Linked DNA regions of Mytilus edulis. The protein of the gene in region 1 interacts with the protein of each later gene in a biochemical or structural test. Links are inferred from orthologs where the notes say so. Each region holds a gene or a part of one and is shown in the gene's direction. Other genes may lie near its edges.

Region 1 (10,733 bases):
GCTGCACTATTTCCAATGGATTGTCCCTTCAACTACGCAGGACGGAGTTTGCTGCAAATTTTGCAATTTGTTCGCTACTGACCACAACCTCGTACAGTTTGTTAAGAAACCAGTTCAGAACTGGATAAAAGCAAATGATGAATGAAAATCTCAGCACAATTAGACTTTACTCACACACATGAAAAGCCAGCTATAGTGGAATAGACGCAAGGGCTGATACAGCTGAGCAATTGCAAAAATGGGCGGATAAGATCTGTGATTAAATAACAAAAGTAATTTTTAAATAGCCATAGAAGATGCGGTATGAGTGCCAATGAGACAACTCTCCATCCAAGTCACAATTCTGGGACTTATCATTTTTTACCTGGGAAAGGGAGGGGGGCTGGTCAAAATACAGGGGGTCAAGTTTTTTTCTGTATGTGGAAAAGTGGGGTTCAAATTTTGTTTATAAATTCAAAGTGGAGGATCAATATTTTATGCATATGGAAATGAGAGTTTACATACTTAAAGTTAAAGAGACAAAATGTCAAGAAGAACAATCAAATGGAAAAATAGTTTTACCACCATTCATGTACTGTAACAATTAAGTAAAACAACACATGACTTTGGTGATGTAGGAATCTGCAATTTTGTGTCATTTTGTTCCATATAAAATGCATTGGCGCTTCATAACACGAATAATCATGTCGTTATATTCAGCCACTCACGTCAATCACTACATTAACAAGCATTACTTCATAGTTTTGTTATAATCACCTGGACAGTTTGAGAGAAGTGAAGTGTAAATCTTAAGGAAATCTAACAGCGATTTGTGCAAAGTTGTGTCAAACAATTCAAATCACGCCGCATCATGTATAATATAGTGTAGAGTAATAAATTCTCCAATAAATGATCAAATATTCATCTAATCTGCATAAAAACTGTTAAATGTTGACACAAAGATGATTCTGAGACGATGAACATCACTTATATACCTTTATGTTTTCATTATAAGATCCTTTTGGGTCCATTTTTATACCTCTCATTCCCTCAAAATTTGTACATTTTAGGCTAATAATATTTTTTTTGGAGTTACATTCACACATTTATGAATGAAATGTGACAATTATGAGTATTTGATTGTTCAAGCTGAAAGCATAAACTATCCACTCAAGGGATCGAGATTTCAATAACGTAAAACTTAAGTTTACGCAGCGTTCTTGCGAGAGCCAGAGTTACTTAGGAACAAGCTTTCTTTAATAGCCCAATATAGGAGATAAGGAGGAAAAGGTCAGAAAAAGCTTCCAAAAGCACTGGCTTGCTCTACCTAATGATATTCATGGAAGAGTCCTAGGCTATTTCATGGCAATGTTCCTTCAAATATGTTTTTGGACTCAATCCACTAAGAATATTTCATGTTTGCAATATTTCCGTAAAATAATATGATAAGTGTTTTGCATGTTTTAAAACATTTGGGTATGTTTAATAGTGGGGATCAGATTCTTTTAAATATTTGTATGAGGGGATCAAATAAAAATCTCTCCCCCCCCCCCGCTTTAAGCCCTGGATACGCGTCTGTTTTGTTAGTGTATTTTAAGGTAGATTTATCCTTTTTCCTGGGGGGGGGGAATAAATGTCAAAAGATAGAATGTTTTAGTGATTTGCAAAAATGTAGTGTGTATCTTGCTGTTTCAAAATAAAATATAATAAAAAAAGTATGGGTCACGCATAAGGGGGGTTAGCTGTTAAATTCATGTTCATTGATTTGATTTAAATTATCTTATTTTTTTAAATTTACATACTAAAACGTTTTTTCCAAATTATACTGAAAAGTCTAAACAATTTAAGGTGCATGTACCTGATAGTCCTGATACTTTATTCATTAATTATAACCGCATTCAGTCGAGTGTATTTTATTCTATTTATTGACGTCATCTAATTAACCATCTTGGTGACCTCCGAACACTGTCCGACAGTCATATTACACGATATCAACAGTTGATGGTAAATATAAATACTAGATATCAAACACTAGCAAATTGAACTCGTAACTTATGGCCCTTAATTCACGGTAAGATTATGTAAAGATTGTACATACACTTTTGTGGGAACAGAAAGACAATTACGTTAAGAAGCAACATATAAATGCAACATGAACAAAAAAAAGATAGCACCAGAAAATACAAAGAAAAATGATGGAAACGGTGGAAGACTTCCATTTCTTATTATAGATTAAAAATCTGAGACATCAATCGCGATAAATAATATAGAATCACATATTATGTTAAACATTTCTTCTGTGTACATCATCATAGTACTTTTACAATTTCATATTAGATATCAAGTCGACGACATGGGTATCTTTCAAGTTGGATGTAGAAAATGCATAACCTCCGATTTTATTATTTTTTTTACCACGGACGGAAAACATATCAATCTATTAGTTCACTAATTTTCGTGTCTACCCTTCCATTATGTGACTCAAGAAAAAATTCCAAAAAAAGGGTAACAATTGTATCGAAAAGAGAAAATCGAGTGCACCTTTTTATGTTAGGGCGTGTTTGAGTTGAACATTTTGTCTCGATATCGTACAAAGCAAGAATATTTCATACATCGTCTCGCTTCAGTTTCTATCATTTTTACATATCAAAGCTACAGGTTGACTTTATAACATAAGAAAATCACAGTGCTAAAAAATGAAATATATGGGTCAAGTGAAATACCTCTCTAATGAATCACAAAAACAGATTCGAATAGCTATTTTTTTTACTAAAAGTACTTGACGACAGTCTTTCAAGTTGGATGATGAAAATGCATATCTTCGAAAAAAAATTATATTTTTTTTGTGTGTGATAACTAGGGTTTATAGTCTTGACTTCAACCACTAAAAAAATCTAGTCTGCCCTTCCACGAAATATTTAATTAATTTTTTTTTAAATGTTTATGAATTTTCGAAAATTCCACCTGACAACCGATCAGACAATAGTTTTAAGTTGAATCAATGCAGACAAGATCATTAACTGATGCCCATTTTCTAGTTGATACATTTGTCTTTTAAAATACAACTGGCATATCAGGATCGTAATGGTGCAACCGATGTGGATAAATTTATCGGTTTCCAAGAGCAAAATTGGCAGAGACGGTCATCCCTACAATGAGGGGGGATAGGAGGGGTCCTGATCCCGAAATCCCGGACTTAAAAAAACGAAATCCCGAGGTCCCGAATTTAAATAAAGTAAATCCCGACGTCCCGAAATCCGAAAAAAAGGATTCCCGGATCCCGAGAGGGTCAATCCCGAAATCCCGAGCTTAAAAACACCCGATCCCGGAGTCCCGATAAAGGTCCTATCCCCCCTCTACAATGGCTTCCATTTCTACGATTGTGAAAATGAACTGGCGTAATGGGGAGATAATTTTGACGAAGTTGAATCCTGACTGTATTAGAAACTGTTTGTTTGACGATCAGATTATAATATTTTTAATCAAGGCCGACCGGCCGACAATCGGTGAAATGCAGACTTCGGTAAAGTTCGGACAGTTGACAAGATCACATTAAATGAACCCTTTAATCTAAATTAAAACATTGCACCATGTAAATTCTGGATCATATAATAACAGCTCATCTTAGCAAAAATCAATTATTTTTGTTTTTGTTTTATATGAATATCTAGAAATTATGTTATAGAACTTTTTGAAAGAAAAAGTGCCGAAATATATTCCATCTTCGTATAGTGTTGATTCGATCGGCACATGCGCTAACAGAAAAAATAACTGAATTCGTGATGTCGGATATGTACATTGTGAATAACACTTCTCAAAACATGCCTAGCACTGTTCCAGCCTTTCTAACAAAGCTATGGACACTTGTAGAAAACCCTATGGTCGATGATTTGATTTGTTGGGGCGAGGTAAACTACAACAACATGACATAATCAATAAATACATAAAAAAGGGGGAGGGTACTATTAGGATCAAATTCAGTCTACTTAGTTTACCTGTTGATTTAAAAAGTTGTTGTCCGTCAACGTAATAACGAAAAAAAAACCCACTGAAATTGAGACATGTGTGATATAATGATCTTTATTTGATATATGATTAATTTTCCAACAAAACTGAAAAAGTTATATCCTACCGTAGTCTAAAATCGGTCATCTTGTCAGTTTGTTAGGTATTTGTGTTTGAACTTAACACACGGGGAAACTACACATTGACGTCACTACGCTACTTCCTGAATAGAAAAACACTGCAGAATACGTTTTTTCTGCTCTTTTGAATAAAAAAACATTTCTAAAGGTAAGTTTTCATTGTTGTTCTCAATTATGGCTAAAAAATGCCAATTTTCTATAGTCGCCGTCATGTAAAATTGGCACCATGTTTTTGTCAAAATTTTCTTAAATATCGACCGCGTTTATTAAAGATCATGTTTTTGAATTAGCGTAATCAAATATCATTCCAAAAATCAACTACTGTCCTACCTTTTATTGTGTTTGCACTGTATAATCCTGACCTTCACATAATCCAAGATTAATTTGTATGGTGGAATCCGACATAGTTATTACCGGAAGTATTCCACGTGCTCTCCATTTTCTTGTGTCTCTCGGAGCTTTTCGTCATCTTTACGTAAAAAGCGCGGGAAATTGTATCATCAATGACAATGATATTACCGGAGAGTAACGAATGTTATGGAATAAGGGACCCTCATAGAAACCAAGATGGCGGTTATACAATGTAAATAATCTTGAAAAATGTGAAGGTCAGGATTATACAGTGCAAACACAATAAAAGGTAGGACAGTAGTGGATATTTGGACAGGATTTTACTTCAGCTAAAAGAAAAACACCATCTTGAGTAAACGCGGCTGATATTTAAAAAAATTTTAACAAAAAACAGGGTGCCAATTTTACGTGACGTGGACTATAATGCCCGTTTCAATCCTGACTTTCGAATTCTAAAAACATTCTAGAACTTCACAAAATCCCACTTCCGGCCTCAATTGCTTTGTGTGTCATTCCATTCAGCGTCATCAATCTTGTGGCAGGCAATATAAGTCAAGCAAATTGTATTTTTAAGAATTTCAAAATGACATGCTCCCTACGTCTTTCGCAATTTTCCCGCGAAAAAAGCCCAACCAAAATGAAAGGAAAACTATATGAAAAAACGATGTCCATGCCATAATTTTGGTCAGGAATATAAAGTAGGTTAATAAAAAACAATTTACATTTATTTTTCATAGAATTTTTTTTTTATTCATTATAAAAGATCGATATTCTGACCATCATGACTGTAAATGGTAAATATTCATACAAAATTCCATTGATGAGGATGGCAAAAAATGAGGTTTCCTGTTGAATAAAACCCCAAATTATTGCAAACTACATGTATTTTAAAGCAATATCCCACAAACAAATAACGTAATTGCGGTAGACTGAAAAATCACCTACATTTGTAATTGACAGTAGAGCAATTTGATTGGGTAGAACGATTTTACATCACGTGATTTTGACGCCATTGGAATTTGAATGTAAACAAAGCAAGGTCAGTAGGTTCAGTATGGGGCAGCATCGTACATTGAGTTACTGAGAAACAATTATGAGTTACCAAGCTTGACAATGCATGGTAATAAAAAATCAAAGCTAAGTCTACAGAAAAAAATATAAAAAAATGTCCTTAGGATAACGACTTACCAACATTCCAGGATAAGTTATATATATCCTTATAAATTATTCTTGACATGTAGTGCATGGGTCACCACACCAGTGTAAAAAGACGATATTATAGTCCTAAGATTCCTTACTGCTCTTAAGAAGCATGAGGGAGAAGTTTGTGTCACCCTTGATTTTCAATAAAATTATAACACAGACTGACAGAGGTCCCGATTTCATGTCCCGGTGGAGACCTGCGATTTTGCAAGAAGAATCATGCTCTCTGGTTACATTGGCGACCATTGAGCTTGATTCTAATATCCACTTGTCATTAATTAATTATTACCTGTTAAACCAGGTGAATTTCAAGGAACTGCAACAAAGACACATGACCCAATTTATCCAACTCCAAGTTCAAAATTCAGGTTTATTTGATTGCTATCTTCTCTTTTAAATGAAAAGACAGGATTGTTTGCTCAACTTGTTCAAACAGAGAACCTATTTTCAATTTAATTTTATTAAAAGAAGGGATCTTGCGATTCGAAGGCATATAGCTCCTGTTTATGTGCAGCAAGATTTGCTTACTCTTCAGTTACAACTTAGGTTACTCGCTGCATTTGGTGGGGTGAGGGTTGCTCAGTCTTTGGTTTTCTATGTTTGTGTTTTTTTTATGTACAATGATGCAATCGACATCTCAATCCCTTTTGAATTTAGATTCTGAAGTAAAATGCTAGTTTGCTGTCCTGAGAATCACTTAATTAATCCCAATTAAATCTATTTAGGAAAATCTTTGCCACCTATAAAATGTACCTGGTCTCAAATCTGTGCCTTTTACATCTACAGCACCACACCGTACACCTGACACTAGCATTTGTTTTACTCTTGTGCTAAGGAGGAAAAAACACTTCCCTGGACCCTGGAATCAAATGACTTGGAATGCTGGTAATGTGTTGATGTTTTCTGTTTAATTGATTATATAATCTTGTTAGTTTTACTGTGTTTTTTTCTGTGATGCTAACATGTTGTATTTTTATTTCAGAATGGAACCAGTTTCCATGTTTATGATCAAGGCAGATTTGCAAAAGACATTCTACCACATTACTTCAAACACAGTAATATTGCCAGCTTTATAAGGCAACTAAATATGTGTAAGTAGTTAATGGCAATATTGATGTCCACATACACAAACATTGGTATTTTTAAAGATGCAAGTTCATTTGCCGGTTTAAGGGTTTCTTTCCCCTGTATCAATTTTCTTTTTCACCTATTTCGCCTAAAGCAATATTTTTTTGCCACTTCAAGCCGTCAATTCCATATTTGGTTGGTCAGACTTCCAAGCTCCTCGCGTCAATCATTTTGTGTTTTATAGTTTGGGAAATGATTAGAAGGAGATCAATATATAAACACATGAACAGATCGACTTAAACACTAATTTTTTTTGACACTTTTCCCTTCTGTTTCTCATGAAATTACTGGATCTTGAACCCTCCCTCACACTATTTATGTTTCTATTACAATGTGGAAAAATCAGTGTTATGAAAAATTCTAAATATATCCAACCTAAAGAGCAAACCCTCGATTCATTTGTTTGCCTCCTATTGCTCCCTCCACAATCAATTTAAAAACATCCCTTAGTTATATCTCATAGGATTAAGAATTAAACAATTATATTTAATTTCAGATGGTTTTAGAAAAGTTTCTCACATAGAACATGGAATCAAAGATGAAACAGATGACCTCGAGTTCCAACACATGTACTTTATTAGAGGCCAGCAACATTTGTTAGATAAGATCAAAAGAAAAATAGCAGGGGTAATATATTCAAATACATAATATATATGTAAATATCTGTACTTTCATGAAAAGGTTATTTAAAATTTGGTATATTCATGATATTTACTTGTGTATATTTACTTTTGATTAAAAATACTTAAACTATGGGTCATTCAACCATTGGTTGATACATAAAAACAGGGTCATATACATGTAGGAATAAAAAAATATCAAAAGAAAGATGTTTAGATTAAAGTCATATGAAACCTCAAATAAAAAAAAATGATGCATATGTTTTTTTTTATAACAAAATGGATAATTGTCATTATTAAAATTATGTACATATGCTTTTTTTTCTGAAGAAAATTCTTTAATTTGTCCACATTTAGAAGAAGTTTACTTTTTTTTTAAAATGCTTGCTTCCATTAAGCAATGTGCCGACATATTTTCCATATTTAAAGTGAGCCTAGCGTGACCCTTCTCGTAAAAATCCGGTGATCGCAATTCACATGGATCTGTCACTGAAATAAACTATTATCTGATTGTACATGTTATACACGTGCTCAATATCCATACTTCTTTGTTGATTGTTTACTATAAGGTGACACAATTGGTAAACTATGGCTTCAAAACACGACAATTTATGAGCTGCCATATTTTCACTTCTTAACAGATAAAGCGAAAAAAAAATGACGATTTTACGATATTTTTGCGTAAAAAGACTTAGTTTATGATATAAACATGCATTGGTTCAAGAATTGGATAAACATTATTTTTCACCAGTCACTCATTTCATATGACTTTAAAGGTCTTCAGTGATTTATTTTTTATGCCCCACCTACGATAGTAGAGGGGCCTTATGATTTCTGGTCTGTGCGTCCGTTCGTCCGTCGTACTGTCCGTCCGTTCGTCTGTTCGTTCGTCCATCTGTCCCGCTTCAGGTTAAAGTTTTTGGTCAAGGTAGTTTTTGATGAAGTTGAAGTCCAATCAACTTGAAACTTAGTACACATGTTCCTTATGATATGATCTTTCTAATTTTACAGCCAAATTAAACTTTTGACCCCAATTTCACGGTTCACTGAACATAGAAAATGAAAGTGCATGTTTCAGGTTAAAGTTTTTGGTCAAGGTAGCTTTTGATGAAGTTGAAGTCCAATCAACTTGAAACTTAGTACACATGTTCCCTATGATATTATCTTTCTAATTTTAATGCCTTATTATATTTATTATCCAATTTCACGGTCCATTGAACATGGAAAATGATAGTGCGAGTGGGGCATCCGTGTACTTTGGACACATTCTTGTTTATTTTGTGTTTTGTATAGACATTTTTTAATTTAAAATATTCGAAACTATATTTACTTTTCAGACAACTGCACAAGTGAAAACTGAGCCAATGCAGGAAGTTCCACAACAAGATCTGACCAATGTAATTACAGAAGTCCAAGTCATGAGAGAAAAACAAGAAACTGTCAATACAAAACTTTCCTCAATGAAGAGGTACTTAGAATATATTCAATATTCTGCAAAAATACGTAAAGAAAATGTGCTTTTATTATAATCATGTTAATATGAGATTACAAAAAGGTGTTTTGATACTGCATCAGATTAGTTTTAAACATATTTATTTATGTGGATTGGGAAACAAGTTATTGCAACTTATAATAATTCCTTTCCACTTTGCAACTGCGAGTGCTGCCTTGTAGCGGCATAATCCTGCTTTTTTTAAAAATCTACAAGTGTGTCTTTTACATGCAAGAGATATGGCTTTCTCTTAACACTGGTCAGCCATTTATCCTCCCTTCCGACGGACTATCATGGTAGCTCAAGACCACACTCGCAAATGGTGTCAAGGGAGAGCCGAAATTTCAGTCCCTGAAATTTTCTCCCCAAGAAGGGGATCGAACCAGGAACCTTTGTGTTAGTAGTCCGATGCACTAACCATTACATCATAGCTCTCCATAAGAGCTTTATCTGGATTTTTAGAAAGAATAGTCCTGGATTGTGCTTGCTATTTGTTGAGTGCCTAATTTAGATATGATAAAATCTGATAATTGTATCAAAGCAATTTAGAAAATGACAGCGAGGTATCCAAACCATTTTGAATTCATGTTAATACATTTCAAACAGTAACTAGAGGTTGATTGATTGGCGGCTTAAAGTCTGTGCATTATGCTGCATGTATTTTATACTAGAACAAATAAACAATGACTACAATTGGTTTGTCTTGTTAGAGAGACTGCATTGGATGAAGGTCTGGGCATTTTGGCCTGTCACTGAACTGGAAAATGAGGGTATCAACTAACTCCTCAAAGAGTTGTTGCAAGGGTTTTTAATGTGCAGAGTACTAGTGCATGACACTGTTTTAACAGAAGGCATTGGACTGGGTACTAGTGCATCATGCACAGTAAAACAAACACCCTAATGTGACCAGGGTTTTAGTGCATGTCAGAAAAAGACCTAAGTGACCATATTTATATTCTCCAATCACCCTTAGGGGTGAGAATATCTAGAGGGTCTTGTGCAGAACCATTATTCCAAGATATTCAAATAACATATTGTGTCACAAAGTGGTTTTAAAGGCTTTCAATGTTTGTTAATATTGTACTTGTGTCTAGATCTTTTCATTTGTCAAATTTTCAAATATTTTATATATTCTTATTTCTTAATTAAATATGATCTAAACTTAACATGTCAATATATATTTCATTTTACAGAGAGAATGAATTATTGTGGAGAGAAGTAGCCTCTCTAAGACAGAAACATGTCAAACAGCAACAAATTGTCAATAAACTAATCCAGTTCCTGATCCATTTAGTTGGAGGTCGATCTGGAATAGGCCTCAATTTGAATAGGAAAAGACCTCTTATGTTGTCAGACTCGAATCAAGCCTCTCCACCTTCTAAGATGAAGAAATATGCAAAGAATGATCTACCTGTGTATTCTGTTCAGAGTGTAAGTAAACAAGAGTTAAAACAAATTATTACTATTCTCTATAATGAAATGTGGGTATGATGTCAATTGTATGCATTTATTGAGACTTTTAAAGAATAACAGTTTATTAAGAAAAATAGTGCATATGCATGGTATGTAAACCATTATATTGAAAATAAAAGCAAAACAAGTTTAAGTAGTCTAGAACAAAAAAGAATATATAGGATACAGGACAAATAAGTGTTGTAGACTAGTAGAGTTACCTGATAAGTATCATCTATAAAGTGTCCACTAATAAAAACTGTTATTTGAATTATCTTCAGGTCATCTTGTATGAATAAATTGTATTGTGTTATTTCATAAAGCAGTGTGTAAATGTAGTTCTGTTTTGGTTTCAGCCTGAAA
Region 2 (10,733 bases), on another chromosome or scaffold:
CTGTTAAATTCAATTATTTTCGTGTGTCTGGCTTCAGACCACAATTATTCTTCTCCTTTGCTACAATGCTTCTTTTTGGTAAAAGTCAAATCAAATTAAAAATTTGCACTGTTTCAAACATGAAATAAATGTAACTGCTTTTATATAGATCATTATTAGTCTAAATAAAATATGCTTCTATAGGTCAATCCATCTGTGCTTTTTTTCTTCTTTTTAGAGCCTTATTAACATGCCAATGGTAGGATATGAATCATGTATAAATGAATAAGACCGACTAAGGTTAATTTGAGAGGTGGTCGGAGGGGTCCTGATCCCGAAATCCCAGGCTTATAACCATGAAATCCCGAGATGCAGAATTTAAAGAAATTCATATCCCGAAATCGAAAAATATATTCCCGGATCACGTAAGGATCAATCCCCAAATCCCGAGCTTAGAAACACCCGAACCCGACGCCCCGAAAAAGGTTATGCCTCCCTCTCATCTCTACCTTACTTTCGTTTTTGCCAAATCACTATTTTCCCTTTCAACAATAAATGTTTATGCCCCATTTATGGGCATTATATTTTCTAGTCTGTCCCGCTTCAGGTTAAAGTTTTTGGTCGGGATACAAATGTAGTTTTAGATGAAGTTGAGCATGTTTTACCGTTATTTTAATATGTATGCAAGGAGTATGACCCCTTAAATAGTAAACATTTCAAAGAAAACAGTAGACAGAATTAGGGACTTTCTATACTAACATAGAAAGTCCCTGACAGAATACAGAGAGTCTATATATTAAAGTTGTATAATCGTAGTTTACATGTAGATAAATGCGAGAAATAGTTGTCCTCTATATTAAGGAGCTATAATAGTTGTGGTTCCTGCGATATAAACACCATGATATGGAGAACGCTCTGATTGGCTTATTTATTTTTCATTTTTGTTATCTATCATACGATTGGTTGTATTTGTGCTGTTTCAAACCGGAAGTCTTATATATAACTAAAAGTCAGTCCGATGACGGAATCATATTCGGACTCCTTTTTAGTCGTTTTTCTCCCAAACTAACATAATCTGAATAATCATAAGAATGGATGACAAATGCGACTATGCATGTTACCTATAGGACACAGAGGCATGATGATTGATTTATTGTGGAAGGAAGTGAAACGACACACAAAACTAGGTCTTCTCGTTTAATAGTATAGATTCAATATTAGGACAATATCAACCAAGTATATTTTAGATACTTAATCTAAAACTGTGAAAAATTAAAAATATTAAATATAACTCCAATAGACGTAATAATTAAGGGAGATAATTCCAATTCATGTAATAAAAAATTGTACTGAAATTTATTAGGACAATATCAGCCAATCAAATTGCGAGAAACTACTCTAAATCAGGATAATGTCTTTTAGGCCACACCAATTTAATTTCTTGTTCTACGGATTATTGGACTCCAAAATTTGGGGCGAGCGAGCGATTTGAAAAATTTTAATAAAAAATATTTAATTTGCAAATTTTTGAGGCGAAGCTTGAAAAGTAAAGGCGAGCGATTAATTTTTTTTTTGTAAACATAAAATAGTAGGTTTTGACAATAATAAAACTTGATTTATAACTTGTACTTTGACATTTCTTTAATTTCTGAAGTATTTTTTCCCTGTTCAGCAAGAAATAATTAAATCTGGACTATGTATGTGTGACTGACAATGAGACAATTCTCCATCCAAGTCATAATCAGTTTGGGGGCAACCCCTTAATGTTATAAATATCCCTTTTACATGTTTTATGTGGGGTCAATATAAGTTATTATATATTTGTTTGTACAGAAGGGCTTATATTTTCTCAAAGAACTATATATCTATCTAGTATTAAATGGTCAAAACATGTCCAAGAATTTTGTAATATTCCTGGACTTTAACCATGTTAAGTTAACACATTTACTTTAACAGTTTAATATTATTCAAAATAAGTGGACCCCTCTTTTAGAAAAAGTTATTTAAAATATGATGTAACTCTCCTCTCTTTGAGTACAAAATTCTAAGTTTTTAAAGGTTTTGTATAGAAGAACTACACAAATCCTTGGTATTTCTATTTTCTTTTCTACATCAGTAAAATGACCCCTTGTCTGAGGGAGGGTTGTTCTCAACCTGACAATAACAAACACAGGTCAAAGTACGGCCTTTTACACAGGGCTTTGATACAGACCAAACAGCAAGCTATAAAGGATCCCAAAATTATTAGCGTACACAATTCGAACAGGAAAATTTATATATCCAAACGGGAAAATACCAATGAACAACATCAACAAACGATAACTGCTGCACGACAGGCCCCTGAATCAATCAGGACAGGTGCATAAACATGCAGCGGCTATAGATAGTTTTGTTTGCCAGCATAAAATATAATTGCAGTTGAAGGCAAATCCTTCAGAAGTTCTTTGTACTTTATTCTAACAACGAACATTTTTTGATAGGGAATATAAGTAAGGGGGAAAGAAACAAATGTTGATATCTTTTTATAATATCTACAAAAAAAAACGGTGCGGGAAATAGACATGATTACATTTCCGGATGCAGAAAGCGGGAATATAAAAAAATTAAAAAAATTCTGTTTTGAAAAAGGTGCGGACGGGTCCGTCGAACAAGGAATCAAATTGGTGTGGCCTTACAGTTGAATTGTACATTTTAATTACATTGAGCAATCACAAAAATAATACCATGATCATTCACTACATAGACTAATGCAGTAAAATCAGAGTAAGGTGCCTCCTACATTTGTGAAAGAAAGTAAATATAGCTACATGTACATTGTATATAAACTGCAGTTAATCAGTATTAGATTGACACTGACATTTAGTTCAGGATCACTTGGGTTAGTGTGCATCTTCAAGAATGGCAACTCTCCAACATGGCAACATTGTAGAATTTATATATAATCATGATAATTCATAACTTTAATCTCTACTCTGTTTACTTTTCCTCTCTATCTATTAAGCTACCAGTTTTAGCCCAAAACATTTCAAAATGGGAATATTAAAAAGAAAAGATGATAATTTTATCTCTTACAGTTCCTATCTACTGTATTTTTTTCTTCAAAATTCAAACATTTGTAAAAAATTTATTTTTCAAAGGAAATTTCCAGGCCAAAATTTTAAATATAAAATAACACCTCATATTTTTGATCATTGAAATCTCAGTACCCATAGCCATTGCTTGGCCAAATTTTCATCAAATGTAGAAAATAATTCAAGTTTGGTGTTGGTCAACATTTCCCATAGTAAATAAACATGTGTTACTACGAGTTTATACTGGCAATTTAAACTGTTTAACTTTATTTGGGTCAATATCCCTAATGCACCTCAAAATGAGGAACACAATAATATCATGAATATCTAAGAAATTTAAAAAGTTCATGTGCAATGATACTAAACATGGTGCTATAAATTTAACAATTGAAAGAGTTTAACAGCTGCTAACCATTTTGAAAGCAGGAGAAAATAAAGATGTCAAAACTTTGCAGTTGTTTAATGCTTTTATATAGAACTGTTTCCCTGAGATTATCTAACTGTGTGAAAATACAAAATAAGCATGTTACTTGCTGTAGCCACATCACACAGGGCCTTTCTGATTATCTAAATTTGTGAATCTAAATTAAATTTCATACCAAAAAAAATGACATATATATAATGTATATATATATATGTGTCACAGTGATATATGTATAATTCAAAACAAGCAAACCCAGCCACTTCCACTCTGTTTTTGTTATACATGTATGTAATTCTATTTTTTTCCATCTGATGAGTTGAGCCTTTCTCAGCTGATTTTTATAGTTTGTCTTGTGTTGTACTGTTACACTACTGTCTGAGATTAGGGGATGGTTGGATTTCGCTTTCATGTTTACCCTGCCACATTCTGTAGGTATGTGCTTGGTCATGCTGTCCCAAGTCAGGAGTCTGTAATTTAGTGGTTGCTGTTTTTTTCTTGTTTCTAATTTTTTGTACATTAATTAGTCCGTTAGTTTTCTCCTTTGATTTGTTTCATATTTGTAATTTCTGGAATTTTATAGCTGACGATGTGGTATAGGCTTTGCTCATTGTTGAAGGTAGTACTATGACCTAAAGCTGTAAAATTTCTTTGCAGAGTTGTCTCATATTCATAAAAGTCATACCACACCTTCTTTTCTATATACCTATCAGTATCTAATTGTAACCCATATCAACACAAGAACTGTAATATGAGTGTTCTACCATTACATGCATTATAAGTATAACTTTTCTGACATACAATTGGATATACATGTATATATGGACGAAATTGTAGATTTTTATACCTTAATAGTTTTTGTTCATGTGGTTGTTTACAGTTTATCTTCATTTTTTATGTTTTGCAAAGCTAATAAATTAGCAAAATCATGGCTAAAGGACAAAGGGCAATAACTCTATACAATTAATAAAATTGTCATTAAAAAGACTTGAAAGGCAATTGCTGTTACAAATTTTGAATCTTTACCATGATCTAAATTTGCTTACATCTGCCTCCTTAAGTCATAGATCGGGAAACTTCAAAACTTAATTGATAGGGGTGCTGCTGCGTTTCTGTAAATAACCCACCCTTTTCATATAATTTAAATTTCAAAAATGTATACTTTTTCATATACATATATATAGGAAGTGGACCCCCCGAGAGTCATAGAAAGGCAGATGTACATGAAAGCAACTTTACATCATTGGTGAAATGAATGTTTAGTACCTTTTTCACCAATAACAACATTTTGATGTACACTTTTAAAAGTATTTCTCAGAATACACAAGAAGCCAACAGCTTGCTAGTCCAAATAATTATGACGTCTTGGAAGGATATTTTAAATTTTTGCTTTGACGCCTTCCTGCAACAATGTAAGGCGTCAAAGAAAAAAAAAATAATAGCCTTTTAAGACGTTAAATTTATTTGGACTAACAAACACTTGGATGGTACAAAAAAAAATGTATAAAATCAAAAATTTTAGAAAAACAAACAATATGAACAATAAAGGCAACAGTAGTATACAACTGTTGAAAATTCATAAACAAGGCAAACAGCAACAAATGACTACCACTTTCTTACAGTCTACTGTCTTAGGTCAGGCGCCACAAGAATTTGGTTGGTTAACATGTGTATGAGCTTTTAACTATCCCCTTTAAAAAGGACAGAGGTTGTACAGAAACTCTAAAAGTAGTTACAATAAAAGTTAGAGTATAGGTATTTTCTAAACAGATCACCATGAAGCTTGAAAACAGCTGAAGTCAGTGAAAAATAGACGAATGACACATACTAGTATTCTCCCAAACCTCCTTCTGTGTACAAATAGGGTTGTCGTTTATAATAATCATTATCATAATCAATAATTTATGTAGACTGCAGATTTCTTTTTAACTTTTTTAATTATATATAAATTCAGTTGATGAGTTGTGCATGATCATGATGATACTTGATATATTTAAGACTATATCCTTAATCATTAAGTTTGATGTTTACCCTTCACGTATACTGTCTTTAAAGATGTCACTTACTCTAAAATTTTCCGTAAAAAGAGCCATGTCACTTTCATTCCATTTTATGATTTTTTTTAACGTGAAATACCTATCCAGTTATTCAAAGTGTCAAGGTCAACAAATTCTGCAGTCAATATATTTTATTTAAAAAAATCCTCAAAGCAATCTCTTATATTTTCTATTTCATAAAAACTGACATATTTTTGTTGTTGTCATCGAGCTTTTGTGATACTGATAGTGTAATTTTACAATAAAACGTGGTTTCGCTTAAAAAACCAATCTGGTTCTTTTTTTTCTCCTTTACTCTTTGGTTGAGTAACCAGTCCAAGCACTTTATGACACTGGTTTTCTGTCCTGTTCTCGTTTCTATTAGTCTTCTCTTCATCTGAAATTGTTTGGAGTACCAGTCTAATTCACATGGCGTTGAAAATGGCCGATCAAGAGTAAGTTACATGTGGAAACGAAAGAAAATATTAAAACAAGAACGTTTATCAATGATAGTTTGAATGGAAGAAGTTATATCATTATATATTTACCATATATTTTTGCATAATTCATTTGAACAAGTAGTAGCGGTGTAAATCCCACGTAATTTTAAAATGCACGGGATACTGAAGACAACTTATAGAAGATTCCAGAAAGTTTGAGAAACATATATGGCCCTGCAGACATCATCATGTTCACAATAGTACTTTCAATTTAAGAATGGATTTTTATAGAATTAGTGAAAGAATTTAAAATATATACTTACTGTTACAACATATACAGTTCTCTCCTTAATCAATCACTTTTCAGTGCAGATCCAGGATTTAAAAAAAGGGGGGGACCCTGGCAAGCCAACGTTTGGAGCACAGGGGCTTGTTACAATTGCCGGGTTTACTATCCATACGAACCCCTAAAAAACACAAGGGAGGAAGCTAATTTGCGACAATGCTTCAAATTATTGTTGTAAATTTTTTCTAAGACTTTCACTTACTTTGTGACCTGAATAAATATGTTCCCACTTGAATTATCTCTCCAATGACATATATTTGTTACCTTAAATAACCTCTATAACTATTGTAATCCATAAAACAAACTCGACATTTTTGAAATAGAAAGAATCGAGGCCCTACATTTGAAAATGAAAGTGCTAAAGCGACACCTATCGGAAAATATATTTTCGGCACTATCGGGTGTTTACATAAATGTTACGCTTTTCGGAAGTCTACGGTATTTTTTATTACAATAATGTAAAAATTGGCGGGAATTATTAGGAACATACTGTCTTTCGTCCTCATATTTCGGTAAACTCCAGAGAGAGCCGAAAATAAATTTTCCGGTAGGTGTCGCTTTAGTTCTTTCATTTTCAAATGTAGGGCCTCGATTCGTTCTATTTCAAAAATGTCGAGTTTGTTTTATTGATTACAATAGTTATAGAGGTTATTTAAGTTAACAAATATATGTCATTGGAGAGATAATTCAAGTGGGAACATATTTATTCAGGTCACAAAGTAAGTGAAAGTCTTAGAAAAAATTTACAACAATAATTTGAAGCATTGTCGCAAATTAGCTTCCTCCCTTGTGTTTTTTTAGGGGTTCGTATGGATAGTAAACCCGGCAATTGTAACAAGCCCCTTTGTTTGGAGTGTAATACTTGTAAAAAGATTAGCCTATGCAGTTTGTGTATTCACAAAACTCAGTATGTGGGCCATCACCCACCTGCCTTCATCCTCCTCAGCTGTTTGAGTTTAAGAAACTAATTATTTAAGAAGCCTCAATTTTTTTTTATTATATACCTTGGAGCAGTGAAAGGTCCCTTTGAATAATTAAAGAAGCACTTGGATGTAGTTACATATTGTCAAAACACTTGATATACATACTAGAAAAATTGATTTGTGTCCTAAAATTTCTCAAAGATAGACTGTAAAATATTGATTTACAAGGGATATTTTGGCTTCTCAGCTGTTTGAGTTTAAGAAACTAATTATTTAAGAAGCCTCAATTTTTTTTTATTATATACCTTGGAGCAGTGAAAAGTCCCTTTGAATAATTAAAGAAGCACTTGAATTGGATGTAGTTACATATTGTCAAAACACTTGATATACATTAGAAAAATTGATTTGTGTCCTAAAATTTCTCAAAGATAGACTGTAAAATATTGATTAACAAGGTATATCCTTGGCTTCTAAGACTAAGGTGATGGTTGTTATATTTATATTGTTAGATAGGTCTGTTCTAATTCATGCACAAATTGATAAGGTGAAAAACTTAAATGACATGAGATCATATTAAATGACCATGTCAACCTTCATTTGTATGTACTAGTATAATTTGAATGATTTATTTTTCAGACAAGTATTGCATACACCTATGGAATGGGCCCAACGAAAAGATAGAGTGTTACTGACCATTGTATTAGAAGACTGTAAAGAACCAAACATAGAAATAACAGACACAGGTTTACACTTTAAGTAAGTATTTCCACAATATAATTACTCCTGAAATCAGTTTTTGGGAACTTACATTGTGACTTATTAAGGACCAAATAAGTCAGTTGATATGAACAAATTCCTGGTGATGGGATTTCAATATTTATATTATACCATTTGTACATGCAACACACAATTTCAGGGATGGAATATAAGTTTTTTAAGTTGTAGCCCAGTCAATGTAATTGTATTTGTTATAGGATCAAGCAACTGCAAAAGTATGGTAAACATTAGTAGGCCATAAATGGGCCACTGGAATCCTTTGAAATTTCCATCCCCAATTTTAGACTGATTCACCTTTTGGGTTGCACTGTGATTTTACATTTGTTATTTATCAGGGTTACATGTAAGCTCTTGGTTTAAGTCTGTAAATGAGAAATTGAAAACATTTTATGTGTGAAAGGATAGACTAACAAATGTACCTTGACCACTTCAATAGTCTATGAAATCAATAAAGAATAAATGTATTATAGTAAAACAATATGCAAGCCACCTTAACCTTATAATTTTTTAGCTCACCTGACCCGAAGGGTCAAGTGAGCCTTTCCCATCACTTTGCGTCCAGCGTCGTTAACTTTTACAAAAATCTTCTCCTCTGAAACTACTGGGCCAAATTTAACCAAACTTGGCCACAATCATCATTGGGGTATCTAGTTTAAAAAATGTGTCCGGTGACAAGGCCAACCAACCAAGATGGCCGCCATGGCTAAAAATAGAACATAGGGGTAAAATGCAGTTTTTGGCTTACAACTCAAAAACCAAAGCATTTAGAGCAAATCTGACATGGAGTAAAATTGTTTATCAGGTCAAGATGTATTTGCACTGAAATTTTCAGGTGAATCGGACAACCCTTTGTTGGGTTGCTTCCCCTGAATTGGTAATTTTAAGGAAATTTTGCTGTTTTTGGTTATTATCTTGAATATTATTATAGATAAAGATAAAATGTAAACAGCAATAATGTTCAGCAAAGTAAGATTTACAAATAAGTCAACTTGACTGAAATGGTCAATTGACCTCCTAAGGAGTTATTGTCCTTTGAAGTCAATTTTTAACAATTTTCTTAAAATTTGTAAATTTTTACTAACATTTTCCACTGAAACTACTAGGCTAAGTTCATTATAGATAGAGATAATTGTAAGCAGCAAGAATGTTCAGTAAAGTAAGATGTCCAAACACATCACCATCACCAAAACACAATTTTATCATCAATCCATCTGCTTCCTTTGTTTAATATTCACATAGACCAAGGTGAGTGACACAGGCTCTTTAGAGCCTCTAGTTTTGATATGTCACTACATAATACATGTCAATAAACAATAGCATATATATCTATTTCAGGGGCAAAGGAGGAACAGAAAATAAACTACATGAAGCAAAAATAGACTTTTTCAAAGAAATAGATAGCAAAGTAAGAAAATATCAGTATATAGCATCTTAAATTTAAATCTGATGTTCTAGCAAAACTAACAGGATTGACACAGGTACTCTTTAGAATTAACAAATATTTTGCTCTGTAGAAAAAAGTATGCCTATATATGTGTACATGTACATTTATACAATACATGTACCACCTTAACAGGAATTGAATTTTGAATAGGCTTTTGTTGATATCAGATCATTAATCCATGTCAGAATGATAATGAAGATTTCAAATAATTTCCATTATTTACAGCTTTTCTATAAAAGCATGCAAAACAAAATTTTGATCAACTTGCTTGCTATGTTTGCTTGGTTGTTTGCAAACAATAGGTAGGCGGAGTTTCAATATATACTGGGATTTGATTGGATATGAATTGAAGTGAATGTTTATTGCCCAATCAAATGCCAGTATATAGTAAACAAACTACCTACCTGTTGTTTACAAACATCCAAACAAACATAGCAAGCAAGTTGATCAATGGTTTTCTTTGCATGCTTCTATAAAAGAGCTGTAAACACCATGTCAAAGTAAGTCCTCTAGGTGATATTTTTTTTACATTTTTCTGAGACTAAATTTTGGTAAAGATTGTATGTAATCCCATTGGTATTTTGGAGGTAGTGTGTTAAATATATGAGGAAATTTTACATATTTCACAAATGTTTTTTTTTGTCTTGCAGGAATCAAAGTATGCAGTTTTACCTAGACATATATCATTGATTTTAAAAAAGAAAGACACCACTGAAGAACATTTTTGGCCGAGATTATTAAAAGAAAAAACTAAAGTAAGTGTTTGAATCTATGTTGTACAGATTCTGTCTGGTTAAAATTCTAATGAATGGACTTAGAATTTATTATTATTTTACAAAGGGATAGGCTTTGTCATATGACAAATGTGTTCAGTTACAAAAGGAGGTGAGATAACAATAATACCTGAAATTGTGAAATACCAATAGAAAAAAAAATAATCTTTTTTTCCAGTGTTGCATATGGTGAAACTAGAACTGCTCTACTCCATCTATCATTCTGTCCATATATCCAAAAAACATTGATTAGAAAACTTTCAAGTTTTCTTGGCCTCTTCAAAAAGAAATGATTTTATGGTTGGTCCTTAGCTTGTAATGGTGAGATGTAGTGTGTAAGCAATATTTAGATCTACCCTGTAGCTACTTCCTGTTTGCAGATACTTTTAAATTATACACTGTCTCTCAGGTCCACCCCTGGAACTGGTTTTCTTTTCATGTCCTGTCAGAAAGCTGTTGAAAAAAAATATGTAAAAAATGTTTACCTTTTTTAGATATATGTTCTTTTGTTTGCATATGATTC

Evidence for each region.
Region 2: the proteins of heat shock factor protein-like (region 1) and co-chaperone protein daf-41-like form a complex in vitro, tested with the Homo sapiens proteins (2 studies listed by BioGRID). The link is inferred for Mytilus edulis from reciprocal best matches to the Homo sapiens genes HSF1 and PTGES3.

The regions. Positions count from the first base shown.
Region 1 is NC_092348.1:32,811,461-32,822,193, forward strand, and holds the start of heat shock factor protein-like, read left to right. Parts: upstream 1-3,721; 5' UTR 3,722-3,761; coding exon 3,762-3,887; intron 3,888-6,660; coding exon 6,661-6,769; intron 6,770-7,302; coding exon 7,303-7,433; intron 7,434-8,763; coding exon 8,764-8,894; intron 8,895-10,111; coding exon 10,112-10,349; intron 10,350-10,726; coding exon 10,727-10,733. UniProt on the Homo sapiens protein: Functions as a stress-inducible and DNA-binding transcription factor that plays a central role in the transcriptional activation of the heat shock response (HSR), leading to the expression of a large class of molecular chaperones, heat shock proteins (HSPs), that protect cells from cellular insult damage.
Region 2 is NC_092345.1:91,427,007-91,437,739, reverse strand, and holds the start of co-chaperone protein daf-41-like, read left to right. Parts: upstream 1-5,830; 5' UTR 5,831-5,936; coding exon 5,937-5,962; intron 5,963-7,852; coding exon 7,853-7,972; intron 7,973-9,328; coding exon 9,329-9,398; intron 9,399-10,087; coding exon 10,088-10,192; intron 10,193-10,733. Other genes in the region: nostrin-like, read right to left, coding at 5,538-5,564. UniProt on the Homo sapiens protein: Cytosolic prostaglandin synthase that catalyzes the oxidoreduction of prostaglandin endoperoxide H2 (PGH2) to prostaglandin E2 (PGE2).